7 linked regions of the Bombyx mori genome follow. The protein of the gene in region 5 purifies or fractionates together with the protein of the main gene of each other region. This does not show direct contact. Links are inferred from orthologs where the notes say so. Each region holds a gene or a part of one and is shown on either strand. Other genes may lie near its edges.

Region 1 (4,116 bases), on a different chromosome or scaffold from region 5:
TTTTTTAACTCCGCATACTTCAGTTCAATGATTGCTACATTTATACCATATCCGTTGTCTACACCAGCGCGATTGTGAGAGGTTTTTGAACTGATTTATAGCATACAGCTGGACACTTTAATTTTTTCTCCCTTATGAGATGATTCTCCTTACCTCTTCCTTCTAGAACCAATATGCATGTCTTTAATGTTGTTCATATTTCCATTCGGAAATTAAAAAAAATATAATAATGATTATATCTCTAGCACTACATAAATGTTTTCATTGTATTTTATGAATGATAGCTTCGCCATGGCATGATGATTTAGATATTGCATTGCGATAAAAGGTATTTTTTATCAAATTATACGTTGTAATATTCTTCCATTTGCTGTTGTAGGCAGCTCATCAAACAACCCACCTGGTGTTGAGTGGCTGTAGTTGCTCATGGACTTCGGAAATGCAGGGACTTCGAAAAAAAAGCCGATGCCTACCGAGTTTTATCAAAGATCTCGAGACTTGTCGCAGTAATCTTATGGTTCAGTAAAACAATAAATAAAAACTAAGTTATATAATTAAGATAAATTATCTTTGTTACTATTAATTCAAACAGCTATCTGGTTTAAAAGACTTAAATCCAGGCCCTTAAAAAAATCCTAGTTGTATCTCTATTAATATCTATGATTTTTAGAACAGACAAGATTGTATGGGTTTAGATCTCTTTGCTTTTCCTAGTAAGGAAAAATTGTACCAAAAAATATCTATGCAGTGTGACCATATGTGGCAGGATCTTGCCATTTTGGCAGGATTGGACTCTTACACCGGTCACTCACATGCGCACGAATACGCAAACCCGCAAGTGTAGGACGACATTTGCAAATGATTATGCAAAGTTTTCGCCACATTCGTGGTTTTCCAAGCTGTGTCGGTTTTTAACAGACATCAAAGCGCGCGAACCGCGAACCTTCGCGTAGTCTCTCACACATTCGTTTGCCCAGTTGCGCCGACGATTGCGAATGTAACGGACGAATCGCCATTTTCATAGTTTTTCACGTCTACTGTGTAGCGTATCTTCATCAAAAGAAATCCCATAAAAACCGCATGGCTGTTAATGATGTCTGGGAAAGAATTCAAAACTCTTTTTCTCTTCAATGTTCTATTGACGAATTAAAAAGGAGGAGAAATTCGTGAGACATTCGTAAACAAGTGTAGGAGGAAGCGCAAACGGGTTCGCAAATTGAGTATGCGAACCCATTTGCACGGCCGCTAGGTTTGCGAATGAATGTTTGACGGCCTTTCACATGCGCGCAAACATTCGTACAATGTACGAATATTTGCGCGCATGTCAGTGGCCGGCATAAGGCAGGATCTATAGTTAAGAGATGGTCACACTGTATCTATGGTTTACGTATACATTTCATACATACTACTTCAATGAATAAAATATATCTAAAAAACGTTGATGATTTGATTCTTCATTATTGTTATTATCTAAAATATTGATTTCAATACTCAGTAACGTAAATTTAGTACAGTTGATTCAACTGAGTTGAAGCATATTTTGTATGCTACCATATATTTTCTCACATAATTTAAACTTCAAAATCATTAATCATTATTTTAATATTATTGTATTTTACAAGGTGATTGACATAAAACAATTTCTATAACCTTTAAAAATGGAAACAATTTTAGAGCAACAACGAAGCTACCATGAGGAAAGGGAAAGAACCATGGACGCAATGGTCAAAGAAATTCTTCACAAAAAAACTGGGGTAAGCCATGTTACATGATCACTGTAGATTGGATTTACCTAAGGGGTGCGGGTGCCTTATTGAGGTTAATAAATTAAAAACAGTTGCTTGATGTTAGCTTATTGAAATACATACACACATGAATACCCCTTCAAAGATTTTTTTGTTTGTACATTAAGGTGAAACTTAGTAACAATCACCTAGTACACCTATTGCACATAGTAATATGGTTACATTTTTTGTTGTATTTATTTTTTAGAAATGAACTAAATGTATTTGTTTAAAATTAAATGTCTAATTCTGATGCATTTAACATTTGAATGAACTGCTGAATGAATGGTACCTTTGTTGTATAAATTCAGGGCTGTTATCGAACAGATGAAACAATTAATAAGTTAGTTTTGTTATGAAACTACTAATTACAACTTAGATTTTTTACATTTTTAATGTGATCTGCATTGTTCCATCTATAACAATGTTTCAGCTTGATTTATTGTTGATTTGGTTTGTCCCATTAGGGACACCTTGTATGGTACTATTAGGCACTACAACTTTGTTAGTTTCTGTCTTGAAGCTATTCTACACACCAGTCAGAACTGAAGCCTCTAGTAGACTCTTATTTTGTGGCATTAATGTCTTAATGTACAAGTAACCATTTAATACTATTTAGGCTGTGGGCTTATGCATTATTTCTTCTTCTTTTTCTCCACCTTATCCCACTATGTGGGGTCGGCACAGCTAATTTTTCTCTTCCATTCTCTTCTATCAGCCGTCATCTCAACACTCACTCCTCTCTCTCTCATATCGTCATTCACACACTCCATCCATGTCTTCTTTGGTCGACCTCTTCCCCCTCTACCTTGCACTACCATTTCCATACATCTCCTAGTCACATGCATCTTCTCTCTACGCATCACATGTCCATACCACGCTAACCGTCCGCTCCTTAATTTGTTGTTTACCGGGGCCACTTTCACACTTCCTCTGATATACTCATTCTTTATCTTATCCATTCTTGTCACTCCACACATCCATCTCAACATTCGCATCTCTGCCGCATGCACTCCTCTTTCATGCTTTGCTTAACTTTCGTCGCCCAACACTCAGATCCATACAGCACGACAGGTCTAATGATCGTTTTGTAAATTTTGCCCTTGAGCTGAAGGGGCATTCTACGATCGCATGCTGTTGCAGAGACCTGTCGCCATTTCATCCAACCAGCGTTTATTCGATTTGCGACGTCCCGGTCTATGTTGCCGTCGTTCTGGAGTATAGAGCCGAGGTACTTGAAGTCGATTGGCGTGAAGTCTGAAGAACCACCAAAATCACAAAACATGTGCTTGGTTTTTGTTCGACAGATCTTCAAACCCACGTTTTCCAACCTTTCTTTCCATTTTGCCAATCTCCTCTGTATCTCAGGCCCTTCCTCTCCAACGAGAACAATGTCGTCGGCGAACAGCATACACCAAGGCGCCTCTTCCTGTATGTCCGATGTTAGGGCATCCATTATTAGGATGAACAGGTAAGGGCTTAAAGCTGATCCCTGGTGTAAGCCTACCGCCACACTGAACTCGTCGCTATTGCCAGCTGCGGAGCGTACGTACGTACTAGCTCTACCGTACATAGCTCGAACAAGCCGTTGGTATTTCCCTGGCACTCCTTTCACTTTCATGCTCCACCACAAAACCTCACGGGGAACCCTATCATACGCTTTTTCTAAATCAACAAATTGCATTATTATGTAATTACATATCATCATTATCCTGCCCTTCTCCCAGTCACCTGGGGTCGGCGCAACATGTTTTCTCCTTCCATACTCTTCTATCATATACCATTTCTTCGCTCACTCCCCTCCTACCCATATCGTCTTTCACACAATCCATCCATTTCTTCTTAGGTCTACCTCTTCCTCTAAATCCTTCCACATTCATAGTTAACACTCTCTTAACAACCTCATTTTCATTCCGTCTCATCACATGTCCATACCATCCCAAACGTGCACTCCTCAGCTTCTCTGTCACAGGTGCCACTTTCAGACTTCCTCTAACATATTCATTCCGTATTCTATCCATTCTCGTTACTCCACACATCCATCGCAACATTCGCATCTCTGCTGCATGCAATCGCCTTTCATCCGCCACTTTCGTTGTCCAACAAGCTGATCCATACAAGACGGCAGGCCTTATTAAGGTCTTATATATCTTCCCTTTTAGGGGAAGAGGGATGTGCGAGTCACATATGGTGCCCGTGACCTGCCGCCATTTCATCCATCCTGCGTCAATTCTGTGCCTCACAGTACGATCCAGTTCACCGTCGCTTTGGATAACAGACCCTAGGTATCGGAAGTCTTGACATACTGGCAAAGGTGTTCCGTCGAGGGAAA
Region 2 (3,500 bases), on a different chromosome or scaffold from region 5:
GGTCGCGTTTCCGATCCGGTGGTAGATTCTGCGAAGTACGGCTCTTGCTAGGGTTCGTGTTAGCAACGTCATCAGGTTTGAGCCCCGTGAGCTCACCTACAAAAGTTAGGGTTACGCTGAAATAGCCTCTCAAGGCTCTCAGCTTAGGTAGGGAAAGAAAAAAAAACCCTAAATATTGGTTCAATTAATATTTAGAAGATTATAGAAATGAATTAATTGTTTTCTTTTGATAGATTTTGTTGATCAACAATGAAAATTAAATAAAAGCGTTATTTTGCAGCACTACCAGACAATTCAATATTAGATACCAGTACTGAAGAGACTGATGATCCAGGAACACCGCGTCGGCCGGCATCAAGAACCACTCGACGTTCCTCGTCTACTTCGAAACTAGCAGCCACACCAGCAAAGGTAAAGTAAAAGCATAATATCGAGACGAGAAAGGCTATTCGGTTTAAGCGACATTTTTGCATTTTTATTTTTTTATTGCTTACATGGTTGGACGAGCTCACAGCCCACCCGGTGTTATGTGGTTACTGGAGCCCATAGACATCTACAAACGTAAATGCGCCACCCACGTTGAGATATAAGTTCTAAGGTCTCAAGTATAGTTACAACGGCTGCCCCACCTTTCAAACCGAAACGCATTACTGCTTCATGGCAGAAATAGGCGGGGTAGTGATACCTACCCGTGCGGACTGACTCACAAGAGGTCCTACCACAAGTATTAGAGTAAGTAAGAGTAGTAAGAGAGCCATTAAAGATATAAATAAAATTTGGAAAAAATATAATAAGAAAAAATTTAGCTATTTCAATGGAGTAAACTTAACTGAAGTTCAATTAAAAACATCGAACTGTTGATGTTAATATCAATTAAAACGCATCTTTAATTACAAAGATAAATGTCGCTTAAACCAAATAGCCTTTCTGTCATCCCTCGATATGTTCATTAAAAATTATGTCGTACTGTAAAGAGACCATTCTTGCAAAACAGATGGAATAGGATAATAACCAACTGTGAAAGTTAAATATTTATCAATTACTGAGACAAAAAATAACAAGCACTAAGAAAAGTTAATAACAATGTTGACAGTGTTTATACATCACCAATAAAAATGCAAGGTCATACAAAAATTAGAATTATTAAGTGTCTGCAATAATGTAAGTCAAGTCAAGTAATGGTTGAACACTCCCTGCCTGATTTTCTAATCTAAGATAATAAGGACTAGGGTTTTAAACTGTAATAGCGTTTTTCTTGTTATTGATTTATTTTTCCTCAGTAACAACGTACCGTAAAAATAGCGATAAATTTACTGATAAAGCTAAGGCGTACCGTGTTTTGTGTTTGAATAACTGGTTCCATTATACACGATAACCTTTTTCCGAAGTGTACATATTGAAAAACGGAGTTTATTCAAATGGTTAGTTTTTCTTATGAATGTTGCAAATCATATGAAAAAAAAAAATAATTTCAAAACAGTGCTCTTAATGTTACGAATCCTAGATTTTTATTCAAATAGGAAAGGCAGGCTTTGCTCTTTGAAGTTTGAAAAAAAAATCAGGTTTATAGTTTATTGCATTTTTTTTTCATCATTTTTCATTCATCATACGGCCCACCTGATGGTGAGTGGTTACCGTCGCCTATGGACTTCAGCAATGCCAGGGGCAGAGCCAAGCCGCTGCCTACCGCATATCATTATTTCAAATTTGCTAGTGCTTGTAGAGTTTCATATTATTCAGATGTATGTAATTTAAGGTTATATGATCGAAAATGATAATAAACTGTGATAATACCGTTATTACGACCTTATTTCCCTATTTAGTCTCACCCCTAATCTCATAAATTCCTACTGATCAGCACTCATGGATTCGTAACAATACACAGTCGAATGTGCGTTCCGTTTTAATCCTATACGCTACACGGCGATAGCGCTTCTATGCACGGTACTGAAAATTGCGATGTAGAGTTATCGCACACCCACTTCGATTAAATTTACGATTTTGAGTGTGTGCACATTTTTTTACTTGTTCGTATTATTGCTATTAATAAAGTTTTTATATAAAAAAACAGCATTATTACACCAAAAAAACGGAATTAAAATACTCAAAATAATTACATCACATATTAAAAAAAAAAATCAGCACCAAAAGACTTTACTGGTCGCAAGTGTGTAGCTCTAATAATCGATTATCAGGTTGGCTGTGAGCCTGTACGCACTTCGATTGTAGTAAAAAAAGCAATAAGTAAACACGTTTTAATGTTTCAGCAAAGGTTGCAAAACATTGTGTCTAATAGGAAGGATTACTAAAAATAAATATAACTACCGTATGACGTTACCTGTATTGTATCATTTATTTATTCAATTAATTGTTAATGTAGTTTTTATTGTTGTATTATTGAAAATAGCCTGCAGACCCACCTGAGCCCATTCCGGAAGAAACTCGCAGTGACGGTGATGACCGCTACTCACCAAGCCTTGAGGAAGAATCAACTGAATCTCAACCAACTAAAGATGAACAGCTCGCAAAAGAGCCTAATAACAGGTAAGCTCGACAGGTTAATAGGTCAACAAATGCAGATGACATTGACAATACCACCCACACCCCAGCCTAACTCTGACCCTTAAATATCACCTTTGTATAATATTTTTTGTAATTTTTTTCTTAGTTCTATAAACCGATTCATTACTTTATTAAAAAACATACCTGTGAAAGAATTAAAGAGGAAACAAGTCTTATTTAATTTTATTTATTTCTTTACTTTTTCAGAAATGAATCAGATGAACAGGAGGATGACAAAGGTAAGCTTTTATTAATTAATAGAAAATAAATTTACCAGAAAATTCCCCCTTTTTTTTTTGTTTGACGTACAACAATGTAGGTTGGAGTCGTTATCAATATTTCATGTATAAATTAAATTAATGAGAACCATGTATTTTTTTTATCCTACTATATTAAACTTGTGCAAATTATATAAAAGCAATGGACACGCAAGAATCTACGGGTCCAGATGACGCAAAGAAACATACCGCTGAAACTATGGAGCATGACGGTGATGACACTGAAGCCAAAAAACAGAAGAATGAAGAAAGCAAAGAAGATAAAACAGAGAAAAATAAAGAGGTAAGCAATCCAATGATGTTATGATGGCTATTTTGGTTAATAATTTTTACAAATACAATATACAATACACAGGGATAAGCTCTCAAAGTAGGTAGTTATTATTTAATTCTAATTGTTTTAGTGTAAGGTTTAGCTATTATTTATTCAAATCAGATTGACTGAATTGGTGAGGTTGATGATGCTATATAGTATTTACCACATTGTACTGTAAATACAATTGTAATAGAATTTTAATTAATGTGAAAATAAGTTTAAGAAACTGAAACCTTCAAACGCAATTTGTAAGCTCTCATGCTCAATGCCTTCTTTTTGGTTTCACTTACACATGGTATTCGCTTGTAAGGTTGGGTTTGTAAAGCACTCTTTAATTTAGATCA
Region 3 (3,500 bases), on a different chromosome or scaffold from region 5:
TGAGTACCCGTACGTTGTGACGGTCGAGTTAAAACTCACGAATACTACGACGAACGCTCTGCTGTGCTCGGGGTGCGTGCTGACCCCGACCTGGACCCTGACCACCGCGCGCTGCGTCTCCAAAACCGAAGACTTGCTAATCCAGGATCCGAAGATGTCATGGGTGGTGTACTATGGACTCACGCAGAAACCTTCCCAGGACACCGCCATCGCGATCCTTTCCGGAATAGTCCACCCCAGATATGCCGCGTCACCGAGAATGCTTCACAACGACATCGGCCTTCTGCGCACCGATCCCATCACCCTTAAACAGTTCGCCAAATTGAGCGCCGTTGACATGTTCTCTATGAACGGTTACGAAGTTGAGCTAATAGGCTTCAAGTCGACCAATGATACCAGTGGAAAATTGAAGAGAACTCTACAGATTTCATCGGTTGTGGTGAAGACTTGTGAAGGCACCGTTACTTATCCGGGGATGTGTTTGGCTCGGTCCTGCTCGTTGACCGACGCTTGTCACCAGGAAACTGGAGGTATAGCCATCCACAGCACCGGGGTCATAGCACTCCTGGCCAGTGGACGCAAGAGGGACTGCTTGGAGAACAATGAGAGACAGCAGGCCTATCAAATTGAGACAATGACTTCAATTGTGCCATATATAGATTGGATTCATACTCATATCAAGAGCTAATAGTAGCTAGTGTAAGATTGGTGTCAGAAGCTTCAGTGAACGGATGAAATTTGTATTGTTTTCTCAATAAAAGTGTTTGTTTATGAGCTTTATTTGTATTTAGCTTTTAAAAGCAATTAAAAATGCTCAGTTAACTTGATGATTACCCGCCTTTAGTTAAGCCTGCTCACTAAAGTATTGATATTTTACACTGACTAACTTTGTACGCTTCGGGCTTGTGTTGGATCAATGTTTTATCTTCTCGTTATTTTACTTGCTTAGCTTATACTGTTGTGTATGCACAAATGAAAGATTCCAAAGCAGACTGGTTTATTTTTGCATCTACCCGCCATTTTATAATGCGATTTAATATCTATACATAACACTTGTAATAAAGGGAGGTGGCGGAATTCATGGAATTCATTTGGTGAACTATATCTGATGTTTATAGGTTCCGTGAAGCTGTTGACCTGGAGTTGGCCATTAGTTTGTTCAAATAATTGTTCCATGCTCTCTGCGACATACGCCTTAGTAACTTCTTACTGCATTTCCAAATAGTAAGGAAATTGTATAATGGTAAACATGACGTAATAGCTTAGGTTATTTGAAGATACACTTTTTTAACGAGCATAATAAGAAATACTATTGCAACATTCTCTTCGAAACTCGTTTAAGATACTCATTACGATTGATTACAATTCAGGTTAAAGGTCTACTCCCCGACGAGGAGAAAGAGAAAATAGGTCCGAAGCCAGTGACCGGGGCAGCCCAGAGCCGGGCGGGGCGTCCCCCCGCGCCCCCCTCTGCCCCCCGCGCTGCTCCGCCTCCCCCGCCCCCGGCACCGCCTGTGCTGCTGCAGCCGATGTCCTCGCTAATGGTCCTGCCCCCCATGGCGCCCCGACCTCCGCTCATACCGGCTCCAGTGGGTACGTATACTCGAACACTGCACACATTCCGTACAACATGGCGCTAAGATCGCGTGCCTGATTTACTGGTGCCGGACAATGTACATGTAGTCTTAGGGAGTTAAGCTACAGATTAGAGGAAGAGTTGATGGAATGATAGAGTAAAGTGACATCTGAATGTGATCGCTGTGAGGGGATCATATGGTCAAAGTGTTCTGTGCAGGGGACCGACCCATCGTGGGTCGGTGAGTATCGGCTTCGGTCTGTGCACCCACGGTGTGTTGGACCCCACCTAACGCCAGTTGAGCTGTAGATTCGCGTGCCAGTAATGCATGCAACTATCCAAATATTGTGTGTGCTTCTTGCATAACACATCCGCTCAGTACATTTTGTACCAATAATGTGATTGCATCGCCTTAGGTGCAGTACCACCGCCGGCGTTCAACTTCGGAGCGGTAGTCCCTCCGGGCACAGTGGCGGAGCCCGAGGACGAGGGCCCGGCCGCTAAGAGAGCCCGCACCGAGGACGCGCTGGAGCCCGAGGGCGCCTGGCTCGCGCGCCACCCCGGCGCAGTCCCCCTGCAGGTGGGCTACCAGTAACACTACAATGATTGCTCTTACGCTAACAAACATTACAACTACAAACAAATAGAAAATCGGTCCAGTGTTTTTTTATTTTTTTTTATTGCTCAGAGGGGTGGACGAGCTTACAGCCGACCTGATGTTAAGTGGTTACTGAAGCCCATATACATCTACAACGTAAATGCGCCACCCACCTTGAGATATAAGTTCTAAGGTCTAAGTATAGTTACAACGGCTGCCCCACCCTTCAAACCGAAACGCATTACTGCTTCACGGCAGAAATAGGCACGGTGGTGGTACCCACCCGCGCGTATTATTAATATACCCCCAATATTAATATGTAGACAGAAGTGCTCTAATTTAATACGGTTTTATTAGCTTCATACGTATGTTAGTAAGTAACGGAATCTTTGAACATGATTTTGACCCCCTTCAAAACGTCAGATTGATTCGAAATTTGGCATACTTATTAAGGACCGATTAAAATTCAATATTTTAAACAATTAGACTCGTTATCCTTACTAGGATAATCAGGAATAGCGATTTTTTGTTTTCCTGAGACCCTGAGTGTCTGCGTCAAAACCAAGATGGGAAACCACCAGGCCCGCTGATTACCTATTTCTCGGATAAGTTACCGACTGTATCAGATGAAAGTTTTGAAATATTGAAAAAAAAAATTAATAAATTAAAATTCAACTAAAAAAATAGAAAATAAATTTTAATTAAAAATAGTCTAAGAAAAAATTATATTATTGTAAAAAAATCGTGGGGCGCACTGTATCAATAGTTATAAATATTTTATGAACAGATATGAGTAGAAGGGCTATTTTGATAATATACTGAAAAGCACCCGTACCTCCTACGAGGTCTCCGCGCTTAGGAGGCGCGCGGGGTAGGTACGTGGGACTGGTCCGCGACTGCGAGACTGCGGGCCCAAGGATGTTTTCAGGGCCCTAGAGTGGTGGTACCTACCCGTGCGGACTCACAAGACGTCCTACCACCAGGAATGCATTATGTTAATTGTATGATATTGTACCCTAATGCCCTTGTCCCTTGTGTCGGCAGGTGTCGTTGCCGGCGGCGCCTGAGCGCGCGGAGTGGCGGCTGGACGGGCGCGCGGTGCCGCTGACGCTGCCGCTGTCGGCCGCCGTCGCCGAGCTCAAGGCCATGCTGCAGCGCGCCACCAACATGCCCACCGCCAAGCAGAAGCTGCACTACGAGGTATCCCGACACGCTCAAATACTCGCATAGCTCACCGTAACAAATGATTAGCCATATTTTTTCCCCGGTTTTGACAGACCATATTAGCGTCAGGCGAATAGGTGAGCTCATGGGGCTCAAATCTGA
Region 4 (3,968 bases), on a different chromosome or scaffold from region 5:
TATGGGATTTCTTTTGATGAAGATACGCTACACAGTAGACGTCACGAACTATGAAAATGGCGATACGTCCGTTACATTCGCAATCATCGGCGCAACTGAGCAAGTGAATGTGTGGGAGACTACGCGAAGGTTCGAGGTTCGCGCGGTTTGATGTCTGTTAAAAAACCGACACAGCTTTGAAAACCACGAATGTAGCGAAAACTTTGCATAATCATTTGCAAATGTCGTCCCTCACTTGCGGGTTTCCGTATTCGTGCCACTCACATGCAGTGGCCGGTGTAAGAGGATGGCCCCAGTCATAGATTATACACTTAAGGCCCCAGTATTGTCTAGAAAACAACAAAATTTTTGTTTTTGTTTTTTGTTTTAATTTCTCAAAAAAAAAACAAGAATATCGGTGAAGAAATATTTATTGCTGTGCGGAATGTTAGCAAATATGAACATTATGAGTGATTTAGAACCAGCAGACTTCAAAAATTATCTACAAATGGATTCGATCTGGTTTGACCTAATATTAAACCTTGTGACACCGTTTATTCAAAAGCAGGATACTATCCTACGATATAGGATATATACGTCCTACGATATATACGTCTATTATATATCTATTATATAACTATTACAAATCTAATCCTACGATAGTATAAGTCCAAAAGAAAGATTGGTTGTAACATTAAGATTATACCTAAAGTACCTAATAAAAAGTCTAAAAATGGGACTTTTTGGCGGGAACGCGAGGAGTGAAGTGGTGTGATTTGCTTTATTTTGTCTACTTAGTGTTTCTTCAGGTTTAAATGTTTAATAACGGTGGTTTGTTAACTATTTAGTATCTTTGAAAGTGCACATATGTGGGAAAATAAAACAAAGCCGCTGGACGTAACTTCTCGGGATCTTACAAAAAGTCCACTGAAAAAGTTTCAATAAAAGACCACCATTTTATTGAGATTATATTCATCCTATATCATCTCATTTCATTTCATTTATTTTCATCCCAGATGATTAATGTCTCAAATTAAACATCTTCATTTTATTTTATTACACTCCATGTATCATTTTTCATAAAATTATGAATAAATTAAAATAAGACATGACGTAAAAGTCTTAGTTACCAGGTCATAAAATCCGTTAAAAAAAAAGTTTAAAAATCACATTTTGATTTGACGCCATTGACATTTGTTGTGTGTGGCTGGCCCGAGTTAATTCATTTGGTGCGGCTTTAATTGAGTTTAAGTTTCTACCGCTTTCTACAACTAATCAACATAATAATTTAGAAAGAATATCGCCCAAAGTATCTGCTCAAAATGGATATTAAATCATTTTTATATACTTGGTGTGCTAAGAAAGGCTTAACTCCGCTTTTCGATATCCGGGCCACAGGTACAATTATATTTGAATTATAATGTTTTTAATGATGACTGATTTGTCCAGAATTAACATTATTCAATAATTATTATACATTATCCTGGACTGAATTTATGCAGGTCCTAAACACCGCCAACGCTTTCTGTGCGAAGTCCGCGTCGAAGGATTTTCATATTTAGGAGCTGGAAACTCTACTACCAAAAAAGATGCACAGATGAACGCCGCTAAGGACTTTGTTAGTTATCTAGTTAGAGCGGGGCAAATCCCACAGGCTGATGTTCCTGAAGATGTGAAGGCAAAGGCAATTGAGGAATCTACTAATGAAGAATCTGTCGAGAATAATGGTGGTCAACAACCTAAGCAAGTCTTTCAGGTGATGTTTTAATCAAAAGTTTCCTTGTGTTTAATTATTTGAACTTATTGTATTCATTTTTATAATTGTGGAGGCAAACTACACCAAAAAGAAATAATTCCTCAATAACAATAATAGCAAATGTATGATTAAGACCATGAGTAAAATGACTTATTGAATGTTTCATAGGTTTCAGTGGTGTTTAAATAAATATTGGTTTATAGCTTCGATAATCATTCTGTTACAAGGTAGACTGTAACTTGAGAAAATTAAGAGATTTAAGTATCTAACTAGCTTGAGAAAACTACATAATTTCTTATGGGAGTGATTACAAATGGTAGAAAATGAAAACTAATTCACATTTCAGGATGGAATGGGTCCAGAAGTTATAGGACCAGCGTACCAAGCTTATGGAGGTGAAAATGACAAGAAATTTTCATACATAGATCGCATGCAACAACAGAAAAATGTTGAAGAAGCTGAAGATCTGGACATAAACTCCAGTCTCCATGGCAACTGGACAATGGAGAATGCTAAGTCAAAACTTCATCAGTTTTTACAGATGAATAAAATAAATGCAGACTATGTTTACAAAGCAGTTGGACCTGATCATACACGGTTTGTATAAGATATCTAATAAAAGTGTAATCATTAATTTCAAAGCATTTGTATTGTACCAAATGCTGGTTTAATAAAAACCTATCTCCAACAAAAGTCTAATTAGCAGTGGTTGTTATGATAGTATTAGTTTTAATTGCATAGGCTATACAGTTAAAAGTATGCCATAGAAGACAATGTGCTTATTACCATACAAACTGTAAAGCATTCAAAATGTATGAAATAATATGACACTAAAAATTGCTATGGCCGGTTGTGAGCGGCAGGAGTTTTTAGTGAGGTTCAACTCCCACATACCCCACCTGCCGCGCGGGTGGGGATCCGGCGATTTTCTCCTGTGGAAAAAAAATGCTAAGCCATAATAAAAGTAGTTTTATAAAGGTAACCTATAAAGTTTATAGTTTTATAAAGGTAAGGTTTGAAAGATAAATGTTTTGTATTTATCTTTCAAAATTGATTAACAATTTGAATAAGATTAGCAGGATATAACTATAATAGGACAACTATTCCTAATGTTATGCACTAAATGCAATAACATTAGGAATAGAATGTGGTCCCAGTTATACTGAATCTGTGATCAATGTATGTTGATTTATAAAATATCTTGATATGAAAATTATTTCCAATGTTGTGTTGGACTGACAATGAAGAATGATTCATATCCATAAAGATTCAAGAATCCATAATTTCAGGATTTCAGGTTGTAATTATAATATCTGAGTTTAAACAGAAAAATAGAGTTAATGCACATTGTCATCTTAGTTAGTCTACATCCTATACAAAGATTGAAAACAGCATATAACAGCATCTTCAGATTTGAACAAGCACATGAATAATTATTGAAAGGATTTATTCCCATTGTAGTTAGATCATATAGCACACTTGATAGTAAGTAATCAACATCACTCATGGACATTAGCAATGCCTGGGTCATAGCTTAGTCTAGCCTACAGCTGGAGTATGAGTATATTACTGTGTATATAGTGCTGTACTATAAGGTCCTGAAGTTTATAGTACAGCACTTTCATTTGTCACATGAAGGCTTTCTGATATAGGTAAATTTTGGACACTTTCAGCTCGGTGCCAAACTCTTATATTCCTTGATTATATTTCTGTATCAGTTATTCAGATAAGTAATTAGTCACATTCAAATATGTTAATCACACAGGTGTCAGACAATAAGAATGTGAAATATCTGATACAGAAATCTAGTCATTGAATGCAGAATGTGAACCTGGCTTAATGTGTCCAATATCTACATCAGAAAGCCAGTCTATCTCTGAGCAGCTGTGCATTCAGGTCGATGTGATATTCAAATGTAAAACTAAAGCCTCAGTACGATGTTAAATGATTAAGTATTTAACGTAAAAGGATAAATTTTCATCATATTTTTAATATGTTAACATATCTGTATAATATGATTGAAATATTCTTGTCTTGTTTGCACTTTATTCTACCTTTATACTTTATTCTTTATCATCAAGCTTTTGATTTTTGTTAGAAAACATATAAGTAGTTGCACACATCACATCTGTTTTTATTCTTGCATACTAGTTTATATCATCAATATTTTATACTGCCACTGGTTATTCATAAAGATTGAAAAATCATTGGCAAGAATGTTTGTTTGTTACAA
Region 5 (3,160 bases):
GCTCTGATGGAACTGATTAAGATGCAATGTTTAATCAAAAATATGTTATTTTTGCCAATTGCTGAAGAAGCTTCTTATTTAAACCATGTTTTTTTATTGCTTAGATGGGTGAACGAGCTCACAGCCCATCTGGTGTTAAGTGGTTACTGGAGCCCATACACATCCACAACGTAAATGCGCCACCCACCTTGAGATATAAGTTCTAAGGTCTCAAGTATTGTTATAGCGGCTGCCCCACTCTTCAAACTGAAACGCATTACTGCTTCACGGCAGAAATAGGCAGGGTGGTGGTACCCACCCGCGCGGACTTATAAGAGGTCCTACCACCAGTAATTACACAAATTATAATTTTGCGAGTTTGGTTTTTATTAGTTTGATGTTATTTCTTCATGGTGGAAGTCAATCGTGAACATTTGTCGAGTACGTATTTCATTACAAAAATTGCACTGGACGTCTTATCCGTTACGCCACAACGACTTGTATGAAGAATGAAATACCATAGCACTTAGATAACCATGCAGAAAAAAAGTTGTGTTAACATTGCAAAAACTACAATAAAAATACAAAGAATTACCTATCCACTGGTCAGGAAACACCACTACTTTGATATGAACAGAAAACAACGATAAATTTTTCATTACAGTCCTCTCGATCCATTAACAGTGCCTTTAGGTACCTCAAGCACCGGTCACCGTCCTCGCCCAATCCGTCGCTTGTGACGAAGAGCTCGACGAGTAAATTAACCCATAGACACAGCCCACTGAGTTTCTCGCTGTATCTTCTCAGTGGGTCGTGTTTCCGATCCAGTGGTAGGTTCTGCGAAGCACTGCCCTTGCTAAGGCCAGTATTAGCAGCACTCTGGTTTGAGCCCCGTGAGCTCACCTAAACGTCAAGGAGAAGCTGAAATATCCTCTCAAGGCTATCAGCGTAAGGAAGGAAAAAAAAGATAAATTACTTAAGCCTATACTTTCCTTCTTAGTAACAGCCGGCACCTGCCTTCACTTACCATGTGTTTAAAAGGCTATTGATTCTCTGTGTTAGCAGATTTTTACTATGTTATTCATAAAGTTCATAATGTAGTTTTTTTAAATCACAGCTTTATGGTATTAGGTCAGCAAACAAAAGTACTACAACCTGTCTTCATCTGAAGTTTTTGAGTATTCTCCTGTAATCAAAAAGTTTGCCAATTAGCTGGTTTGCCAATTAAGGTATTAATGTTGCATAAATTAAGAATGATTAAATTTATTTCTAAAATGGAAAAATTTCAAGTGCCTATTTTTATAGGCGAAAAATTATTGGAGTTATTTTGATAAGAATTCTTGTGCTTGTGTTGGAAAATTAATGTACTCAGAAGTTAGACCATATAACATACACCTTTTATTAAAAATATACTGAGAAATTGATGTTATAAGTATGGTTTCTGAGAAGCACACATTAAACACCAAGTTTATAAAAATCAAATTTATATTCAAGTAACTAGTATTTTTACTGTTTATGCATTTAAATGAGAATGCCCAATCCAATGACTACAAGATTTCAGATGCTTTTATAGAAATATAACAGTAAAGTAACATATGGGATTGTTACTAGTAAACATACTAAACCAAACAGAATATCGTCTTACAATTCAGTCATACTTCTTAGCAGTCCAACTTCTGAAATGAAAACTGGAAAAATAGCTGAGCAAAAATATATCTTTTAAATATTGTCTCAATGAACTTGGTGAATAATGTTTTATTTCATAATTTGAGTGTTTAAAAATGAAGTAATTAGAACATGTATCTGTATATTGTATCCATAATACTGGTCTGCATGTCTCAAGAAATTGCTGCAATAATTTTGTCTTCAAGCATTGTTCTAAGATTTTCAAGGTATCAAGGTTAAAACATTATGGTAAAGAAAAGGACGCAACTCTTGGACTGAGGTCACTTATAAGTGAACCTAGGTGTGAAACAATCTACGTGCGACATACAGTGTGTCCCTTGCCTGCCTGTGTACTAAATGCTGTCCTTATTGTTTTAGTGGCGGAGGCAGGGGGGGTGGTTTTAACAAAGGTAAAGCACCTCGCATTATGCGAGCGATGCTGTTGTCATATTATTAATTTGTATTTATCTAAGGGGCTGCCAAACATGGTATTCTACTGGTTAACTGGCTCTATAATATAAGTAGGTTTTATCTTATTATATGGTTCAATAAAGAAAAGTTGATCAGGTGTGAAAAACGTCAGCTTGGAAATGTGTATTACGAATTACTAAATAGATTGTAAGGTAAATAATATTTTAGGTAAAATGTGCTATATGTGTTTCACAATAATATCAAGAGTTTATTGAGGATTGTGCTTATATAAGGGAACTTACAGTATATGACAACCTCAAATATGAATATGTAGTGACATATGCTAGCAAGTAATAAAATGAATGATAACTACACAAAACATTTATTTTATCTCTAAGGAGACACCACTATTTATTGTAAGAGGCATAATCTTCAACAGAGTTATAATATTGTGACTGATGATAATTAGGTAGTATGGTTACTTGATTAAAGTGTATTTGACCAGTAATAATGCATATTGTTTTGGCAGCCCTAAAGTTATGGTATAAAGTCATGCAAAGGTTTTGTCATCGACAAAGAAAAATAATATTTTTTAATATTTGTCTATGTTAAGAAGGTATTTAGGACACGTAATTCTAGTGTGTCCAAAGGTAATATTACAAGCGCGAATCCAAATATCATCTATTTTAAGAGGTGAATTGTACATTTTAGAATGACAAGCTAAATAACTTATTCAATTAGATAATTTTAGACTTCATTATTTAAAATTAAATAAATTATGTTGTTTATTTATACAGCAACTAGAATTGTTTATTTACAAGCTATTTATTCCCCCATAATTGAATAAAATTTTCCTTCAGGAGGCGGCGGAAGCGGTGGATATGCCGACCGTGGTGGCGGTGGTGGTGGTGGCGGTGATATGGTAACTCAAGAAGATACTGTCTTCGTTCAGGGAATGAATCCATCTACTACTGAAGAGGAGCTGTGCCAACATTTTGGAGCTATTGGTATAATCAAGGTAATTGAATGGTAAAATATAAATTTGGAAAAATGTTTCATTTTCCTTCTTTTTTGGATGTATGTAAACTATGCTAAATCAAGCATA
Region 6 (4,031 bases), on a different chromosome or scaffold from region 5:
TGTACTGGTTGACTGGAGGGAAATCCCAGCTTTCGCCAACAAGTAAAATTTTAATTTACAAAACCATCTTAAAGCCAATATGGACATATGGCATACAGCTTTGGGGAACTGCCAGCAATAGCAACGTCGAGATCCTGGAAAGGTTTCAAAATAAAACTTTCAGAACAATGCTAAGAATACCGCATTACATAAGCAACAAGATCATACAAATGGACCTAAATATTCCCACAGTGAAAGAGGAAATAGTAGCTTACAGCAAAAAATATCAAGCCAGGTTATCGACACACGTCAATAAATTGGCGTCGGACCTAGGAGGCACAGGAGCTGTGCAGTTTACTAGATTAAGGAGGCACAGTATACCTACCTTACACAACAGAAATTAAATCTAACAATAAAAGATGAAGGTGTCACTGGATATCTGATTCTGTTTATAAATCTATTAAGAATAAATTCAGCCAGAGGAATAGCTCATTGTTAACTGAAAAACAGATCGCTACGAGACATTAAAACATAAGAGAAAAAAAAAAAAATTAATTAGAGAAGTTAATATTACGACGGATGCGATGCTATATAAAAAAAAAATTAAAAAAGTTAATCAAAAGAAAATCAATTTAATATGTATAATGTGTGTAGCGCCAATAGATATGCTGTACTTGACTTTTGATTTTCTTTTGGACTTGAGGACTGTATTCTGTTAAATTAAAAGATGTTTATTTTTTGAGATACCAGTTGGCATGTGTATTCTGAATTAGCAATTTTACAGTTTTATATGATGATGGGGTCAGGGAACAATATTTTTATCCAATAGCAACCGCACACGTTCCTAGCGTGATAGCGTCACACACAGCTCGATTATAATTGGTCGCGAAAATTTATACAATAATACCAATATAATAATACTAATGACAAAATACAGATACGATAATTTCACGGATCGAGATCCTCAGCATTGCAGATGCGTGAACAATGTCTAATGTACAAACTAATAAAACTGAAAAAAAAGATCTTCCGAGAACTAGCTTAGGCTAATATAAAAGTTAAAGACAGGTTTGTGTAAGTGAGAGAGATTTAAAGTGAGTGATATATGTATACTGAGCTAAATGATCAAGATGAAAAAATAAATTAATTGACAGACCAATCAATTGAATTGGATCACTGAGCTAGTGATCTAAATGGGCTAGTGAGCTAGATGAGTGATATATATCTTTAGAGTAAAATGATATATGTTCTATGATTATACTAATCTGTGCTCAACAGGATTATGTTGTAATATGTTGGCCTAAAGGTCTAGAAACCAGGCCACAAACTCCAAAAAAAAAAAAAAATTTTTAGTATGTTGTACATACACAAAAAACGCGATAAATATACGTTTTGGTAAATTTTAGTTAGCAAACTAGTGAATTTTGTATAATGAAGTAATTAAAAATAAAAAAATCAAGATGTCGCTGGAAATACCTTTAATGAGCACCGACGAGGTGAAATAAAAACTCTAATTCAGTTTGGCGTTTAAAAAGTGTTCGTGTAACATTTTTATATTAATATTTGATTTCTTTAGGTGATTGACCTGGATCCAGAACAATTACCTTCCGGCGATGAGGTGCTCAGTATTTTACAACAAGAACGCTCACAACTCAATGTTTGGATTAATGTTGCAGTGAGTTAACCTAACCTCGATATTATTCTATTATGGGAAAATAATCATAGCAGACGAAAAAAATTAAAACTTTATACCAATCACAACGTTGCAAATACATGAACTAATATAAAATGCAAGAAAATCTTTAATTAAAAAAGGTTTTTCAACTGTAAATGATCATTTAACAATTAGTTGAGTAAATATGTTTACAAAGAACTTTCACAAATTACTTTACCTTAAACTTATAATGTCAGTTTTAAATATAAACATTAACTGCAATTTTCTTCGTTCTTTTAGACTTACATCAAAATATGTTAAATATACAATCATAAAATAATTTCACACTTATGATACATAATTCGGAGTACACATTTTCATTATTTTTATTGCCTACAATTATCGTAATGGGGGTGTTAGATATTATGAAGCAAACACTGCCAACATGCTGACATGTGTGTCAGCAGTGTAAATGTCACAAAAAATTTGAAAGTATGACTACGTCATGGGAATAGGCAGCTTTGTGGTATCTTATGGGTAGACAATGCACCCTATGAATATATGAATAAATATGCAAATTCATAAAAATTATGGTTATCATATTAATAATTTTATTACACAATATAATTTCTTCGATATGTATTTGTATACATACATCAGGTGGAATTTGATATGATCTAATGTAGTTTGTTGTGGTTGAAATTAATAAAATAAATAATAAAAAGGAATTTGTACAATTTGAGTTTCGGGACATTCATATTTATTATTAACCTGTTATATAATAAGAAACAGTTGCTCTGCATCTTAAGTGTGACTGACTTTATGCTCCAGTTAAAAGTTTTCAACTTTTTATGTTTAGCTCGCATATTACAAACAAAAGAAAATCGATGACTTCCTCAAGATCCTGGAAGCATCACGTACAGATGCCAACATTGACTATCGGGATTTCGAAAGAGATCAGATGCGGGCTCTCGACATGTTGGCCGCATACTATGTGCAAGAAGCTAACAAAGAGAAGTCAAAAGATAAGAAAAAAGAACTATTTACAAAGGCAACATTATTGTACACTATGGCGGATAAAATTATTATGTATGATCAGGCAAGTGAAAAATAATGCATCAGTTAATCATTGCTAATTGTCGCTTTATTTTCTAATAATGTGAAATGTTCCAGAACCATCTTCTTGGTAGAGCATATTTCTGCTTATTGGAAGGTGACAAAATGGAACAGGCTGATGCTCAGTTCAACTTTGTCCTAAATCAATCCCCAAATAATGTGCCTTCATTGCTCGGTAAAGCTTGCATAGCTTTCAATCGTAAAGATTACAGAGGGGCACTTGCTTTTTATAAGAAAGCACTTAGAACAAATCCAGACAGCCCAGCCGCTTTGAGACTGGGTATGGGACATTGTTTTATGAAGCTGAATAATCAGGAGAAAGCCAGGTATCTATATCGTAATAATTATGGCTTGTCTGCAAATTCTGATTTTGGATACTGGAGGTCCTGGTCCATTACTGCTATTAAGAAACTGTTTCAGTTTGAATAGCAGAGTAACTTAATCCTTTGCACTTGAGATTTCGAAGTATTTGTTTATGTGTAACTTGTGATCCCATTCATGTCAAATATGTTAATTCACCAGCTTGGGCTTTTAGACATATTTGCATATCAATAGAAAACTGTGAATAAGCTTTAAACAAAAGTTTCAAATCCAATCATTTCCATTAAAAGTTAAAGAAATACCAAAGTGAAAAACAGAAAAAGTCCCTCCCTATGGCATATTGCAATGAGTATTTGGACATATAACCCAAGCAGGCGGTATGTCGTAAACTTATGTTGTGTCATGACATATCAACGCCCAATGCCGCATGATAAGCGGTCATGCCGTCCCAACCTGACATATATGGTATAAGAGGAAAAAGAAGTGTAATTTTGATCAAAAGTCATACAGTATATCTGTTGTAGTGTTTACTGGAGCCCATATCTTAAGACATGAGATTGAAATCTCTATTATATTGTATGAACAAAACTAGGGGTACTACATTGCATACAAAAAAAAAGAAGTACACACACATATATATATATATATATATATATAGTTTTAAAGCATTGTAGAAATGGTGACCTCTTGTAAAGCGCACCACCACCCCAAATGATGACCACGACCACTCTGTCAAGAGTGCAAAAGACTGAGAAGAAGAAATAATAAATATATTTATTGCAGGATGGCCTTTGAAAGAGCTTTACAATTAGATCCACAATGTGTAGGTGCTTTAGTGGGACTTTCCATTTTAAAATTAAATCTGCAGGAGAGTGAATCAAACAAAATAGCAGTTATTATGTTGTCTAAAGCCTATGCTATTGACCCAAAAAATCCTATGGTTCTAAATCATTTGGCCAAT
Region 7 (3,061 bases), on a different chromosome or scaffold from region 5:
TGCTCTTGTAAGAATTATTAACGAACCCATCGCCTATACCTTTGGAAAGTTTTTTTTGCGAGGATTTTTACTTATAAGCCACATATGAAATGTACTCGTCGTTTGAACTTCATTGAACTTAAAAGTCGCTACGACCAACTCGGTTTGATTATCGGCAGGCGCTGCCGAGCTGTCGCGTCGCTCGCTGGCGGTGCAGCGCGGCGCGGCGCGTCCGGCCGACGTCAACGTGTCGGTGCTGCGCGGTGCCGCCTCGCTGTCCGCCCTCACGCCGCTGCAGCACGCCGAGGAACTGCTCAAAGCCGAGATGGTCACCATGCTGCACTACGATGCCCTCAGGGACCCGCCTGAAGGTTTCTTATTTCACACATTCAAACATTTCACTGGTGGTAGGACCTCTTGTGAGTCCGCGCGGATAGGTGCCACCGCCCTGCTTATTTCTGCCGTGAAGCAGTAATGCGTTTCACTTTGAAGGGTGAGGCAGTCGCTGTAACTATACTTGAGACCTTAGTTTATATCTCAAGGTGGGTGGCGCATTTACGTTGTAGATGTCTATGGGCTCCAGTAACCACTTAACACCAGCTGAGCTCGTTCACCCATCTAAGCAATAAATAAATACTTGATTGCCTCGTTGGTGGTTACTGACCAGCTATTGTACCGCCATCACCAGTCTGGTGGCCGTAGCTTTTACAAATATAAATTTGCTCAACGTTTTGAATTTTGTTGCTACAGTATGAACCGTGCTCTCAACATACCTTGTTAACATCAGTATTTTACAAAGACAGAGTGACACAATCAAAAAATCAAGTTAGTTTCGGTAAGCTCTGAAAATGAAGCCCATTTATTACCCTATGTGGCATGAACTGATTGAGGCCATTACTACGGATACGATTAATAATTCGATTTCGTGAATACATAAGCATTTAAATTTTAATATGCGGTAATTCTGTAGCATCGCGTAACCTAACAAAGGTATCGGAATACAGGAATCAAAATTCACCTTAAGAGTGTAAAGACATTCAAATATTAATAGAATTATATTTTTCAGGTGTAGATAAAAAGCGTGCTATTCAACTACAAGCATCCCATTTAGCATACTTAGAACAGCATCCATATGAAGAGTTTGCTGACGAAGAATTAGCTGCCGCTAAAGAAGCACTGAAGAAAGAAATGGAAGTCGTGAAAGCGGGAATGAGTCATGGGGACCTTAGTATAGACGCGTACACTCAAGTCTGGGAGGAATGTTTAGCACAGGTATGAGAATCATAGTATTATTTTTTTTACCCTTTTCGCACAATATTTCAATGCTACCAATTTTTTTTAGTGGCTGACTAAATCAAAGCACCTATTCTTTGGAAGTGTTATGTTACTATTTATTTATTTATTTTATTAGGCTCACAATACACATCACAAGCTAAAGACACATAAATACACAAATAAAAAGAAACAAAATCTGGCTTGCAAATATAATGTAATAATACTTATTATACTAAATATAATGTGAAGTGGTGGTACAGAAGTGGCCGAGATCAAAATGCTTATAATGTTAAATCTATATATAATTTTCCAATAATCCTTTTTACTAACTGAATCGTAGGATTAAAGAAATCAATCAATTAGCACATTACAGTAATTACACACATTTTCCTATAGGTACTTTTTCTACCCGGTCAACATCGTTACACGCGTGCTAATTTGGCAAGCAAGAAGGATCGTTTAGAATCTGCTGAGAAAAGATTAGAGCAGAATAGAAATCACATGGCGAAGGAAGCAAAAAAATGTTCAAAAATGGAAAAGAAACTTCGTGTGCTAACAGGAGGTTACCAGAGTCGTGCCGCAGCTCTCATAAAACAGTTTCAAGAATTACAAGATCAAATAGAACAAGCTAATTTAGAATTATCGACCTTTAAATTCTTGGCTGAACAGGAGAAAGCGGCCATTCCACGTAGAATAGAATCGTTGACCGAAGACGTCAGCCGACAGACTGAACGCGAGAAGCTTTTGCAAAAGCGATACTCAGAACTACAGACCGAGGTAGAAAACATGCAGAAAGGGAAGAAAAGTCAAGTTTCCGAAAATGTTAATTCTCAAAAAACGACTGCATAAAAATGTTCTTGTAAATATTAAAATGGAGTAATGACGCACTAAGTTAAGGAAGATATTATCGTTTGTCCGCAAAATTGTTTCTCATACATTTGAAGCTGCAGTTAAAAGTTTTACCTCTGTATCGACGTATCTGATATTTAGTGCTGATGAATTAATAGTAAAAACTAAACAGTGGATCAAGACTATCTGTAGTATAGTTAATGACAACGTTTCTATTAGAAGATGAGTAACAATAATAAACACTGGAATAATAGGTAGTAGGATTATAACAAAAATATGTAATAAATATCAGGTTTCCATTATAGTTTTTTAAACCTCATTTTTAATGGTTCGACAACACATGTTTACCAGTGTGCGTGTTTATTTTCGCATTAGATCATTAGTCACACTATAATTTAAAAAAAAAACAACGATTATATCTACACAATAAGGTCAGAATAAATCATAAATAAGTAGTATTTTTTGTTTCAATGTAGTTAAATCCATTAGAATGTTAAAGATTTAGTTTATATACTATTTATATAATGGATATAAGAACTCCATACTTTAGATTATTGACATTGCGGAAATTTACCAACATCAATCTTCTTTCGATGGTAAGGTATGTATATTTTTTGCGAGGTTACTCTGTAGTTTTAGTATGGAAGAAAAAACTGGTCACATTTATCTTTACATGTATGTATTACAATATACTATTATTTACAAATGACATAATTCGTAGTACAATATATCTCGATTATAATTGATATTTACAGTTAGATTGATAATTTATATCACAGAACCAAATGTATATACGAATCTACGGATACAAAGATCATCAATTAACAAATTAAATTTAAATTTAATATTGAATTTCTAGTAGGCCATAATATAATTGTTGGCTTGGTTACAAGTGTACGACACTATCCATCAAGATTGGAAACTTGAAATGCATGAAACCATAAATATGTAACACACA

Evidence for each region.
Region 1: the proteins of RNA-binding protein cabeza (region 5) and splicing factor 3A subunit 3 purify together in Homo sapiens (affinity purification with mass spectrometry; 3 studies listed by BioGRID and IntAct, with this or other methods). This does not show direct contact. The link is inferred for Bombyx mori from reciprocal best matches to the Homo sapiens genes FUS and SF3A3.
Region 2: the proteins of RNA-binding protein cabeza (region 5) and heterogeneous nuclear ribonucleoprotein U-like protein 1 purify together in Homo sapiens (affinity purification with mass spectrometry; 3 studies listed by BioGRID and IntAct, with this or other methods). This does not show direct contact. The link is inferred for Bombyx mori from reciprocal best matches to the Homo sapiens genes FUS and HNRNPUL1.
Region 3: the proteins of RNA-binding protein cabeza (region 5) and splicing factor 3A subunit 1 purify together in Homo sapiens (affinity purification with mass spectrometry; 3 studies listed by BioGRID and IntAct, with this or other methods). This does not show direct contact. The link is inferred for Bombyx mori from reciprocal best matches to the Homo sapiens genes FUS and SF3A1.
Region 4: the proteins of RNA-binding protein cabeza (region 5) and MLE purify together in Homo sapiens (affinity purification with mass spectrometry; 4 studies listed by BioGRID and IntAct, with this or other methods). This does not show direct contact. The link is inferred for Bombyx mori from reciprocal best matches to the Homo sapiens genes FUS and DHX9.
Region 6: the proteins of RNA-binding protein cabeza (region 5) and RNA polymerase-associated protein CTR9 homolog purify together in Homo sapiens (affinity purification with mass spectrometry; 3 studies listed by BioGRID and IntAct, with this or other methods). This does not show direct contact. The link is inferred for Bombyx mori from reciprocal best matches to the Homo sapiens genes FUS and CTR9.
Region 7: the proteins of RNA-binding protein cabeza (region 5) and cell division cycle 5-like protein purify together in Homo sapiens (affinity purification with mass spectrometry; 4 studies listed by BioGRID and IntAct, with this or other methods). This does not show direct contact. The link is inferred for Bombyx mori from reciprocal best matches to the Homo sapiens genes FUS and CDC5L.

The regions. Positions count from the first base shown.
Region 1 is NC_085112.1:8,798,029-8,802,144, reverse strand, and holds the start of splicing factor 3A subunit 3, read left to right. Parts: upstream 1-1,316; 5' UTR 1,317-1,658; coding exon 1,659-1,754; intron 1,755-4,116. UniProt on the Homo sapiens protein: Component of the 17S U2 SnRNP complex of the spliceosome, a large ribonucleoprotein complex that removes introns from transcribed pre-mRNAs.
Region 2 is NC_085130.1:5,989,306-5,992,805, reverse strand, and holds part of heterogeneous nuclear ribonucleoprotein U-like protein 1, read left to right. Parts: intron 1-280; coding exon 281-411; intron 412-2,407; coding exon 2,408-2,544; intron 2,545-2,769; coding exon 2,770-2,801; intron 2,802-2,980; coding exon 2,981-3,123; intron 3,124-3,500.
Region 3 is NC_085112.1:2,362,209-2,365,708, forward strand, and holds part of splicing factor 3A subunit 1, read left to right. Parts: coding exon of another isoform or gene 1-688; exon of another isoform or gene 689-1,370; coding exon 1,371-1,593; intron 1,594-1,992; coding exon 1,993-2,156; intron 2,157-3,218; coding exon 3,219-3,374; intron 3,375-3,500. Other genes in the region: transmembrane protease serine 3-like, read left to right, coding at 1-688. UniProt on the Homo sapiens protein: Component of the 17S U2 SnRNP complex of the spliceosome, a large ribonucleoprotein complex that removes introns from transcribed pre-mRNAs.
Region 4 is NC_085132.1:4,379,863-4,383,830, forward strand, and holds the start of MLE (MLE protein), read left to right. Parts: upstream 1-1,168; 5' UTR 1,169-1,301; coding exon 1,302-1,377; intron 1,378-1,481; coding exon 1,482-1,735; intron 1,736-2,081; coding exon 2,082-2,332; intron 2,333-3,968. UniProt on the Homo sapiens protein: Multifunctional ATP-dependent nucleic acid helicase that unwinds DNA and RNA in a 3' to 5' direction and that plays important roles in many processes, such as DNA replication, transcriptional activation, post-transcriptional RNA regulation, mRNA translation and RNA-mediated gene silencing.
Region 5 is NC_085116.1:7,696,744-7,699,903, forward strand, and holds part of RNA-binding protein cabeza, read left to right. Parts: intron 1-2,022; coding exon 2,023-2,054; intron 2,055-2,915; coding exon 2,916-3,073; intron 3,074-3,160. UniProt on the Homo sapiens protein: DNA/RNA-binding protein that plays a role in various cellular processes such as transcription regulation, RNA splicing, RNA transport, DNA repair and damage response. Binds to ssRNA containing the consensus sequence 5'-AGGUAA-3'.
Region 6 is NC_085129.1:3,976,815-3,980,845, forward strand, and holds the start of RNA polymerase-associated protein CTR9 homolog, read left to right. Parts: upstream 1-1,231; 5' UTR 1,232-1,439; coding exon 1,440-1,475; intron 1,476-1,555; coding exon 1,556-1,654; intron 1,655-2,492; coding exon 2,493-2,732; intron 2,733-2,806; coding exon 2,807-3,075; intron 3,076-3,853; coding exon 3,854-4,031. UniProt on the Homo sapiens protein: Component of the PAF1 complex (PAF1C) which has multiple functions during transcription by RNA polymerase II and is implicated in regulation of development and maintenance of embryonic stem cell pluripotency.
Region 7 is NC_085115.1:11,723,283-11,726,343, forward strand, and holds the end of cell division cycle 5-like protein, read left to right. Parts: intron 1-158; coding exon 159-350; intron 351-1,045; coding exon 1,046-1,251; intron 1,252-1,451; exon of another isoform or gene 1,452-1,650; coding exon 1,651-2,103; 3' UTR 2,104-2,561; downstream 2,562-3,061.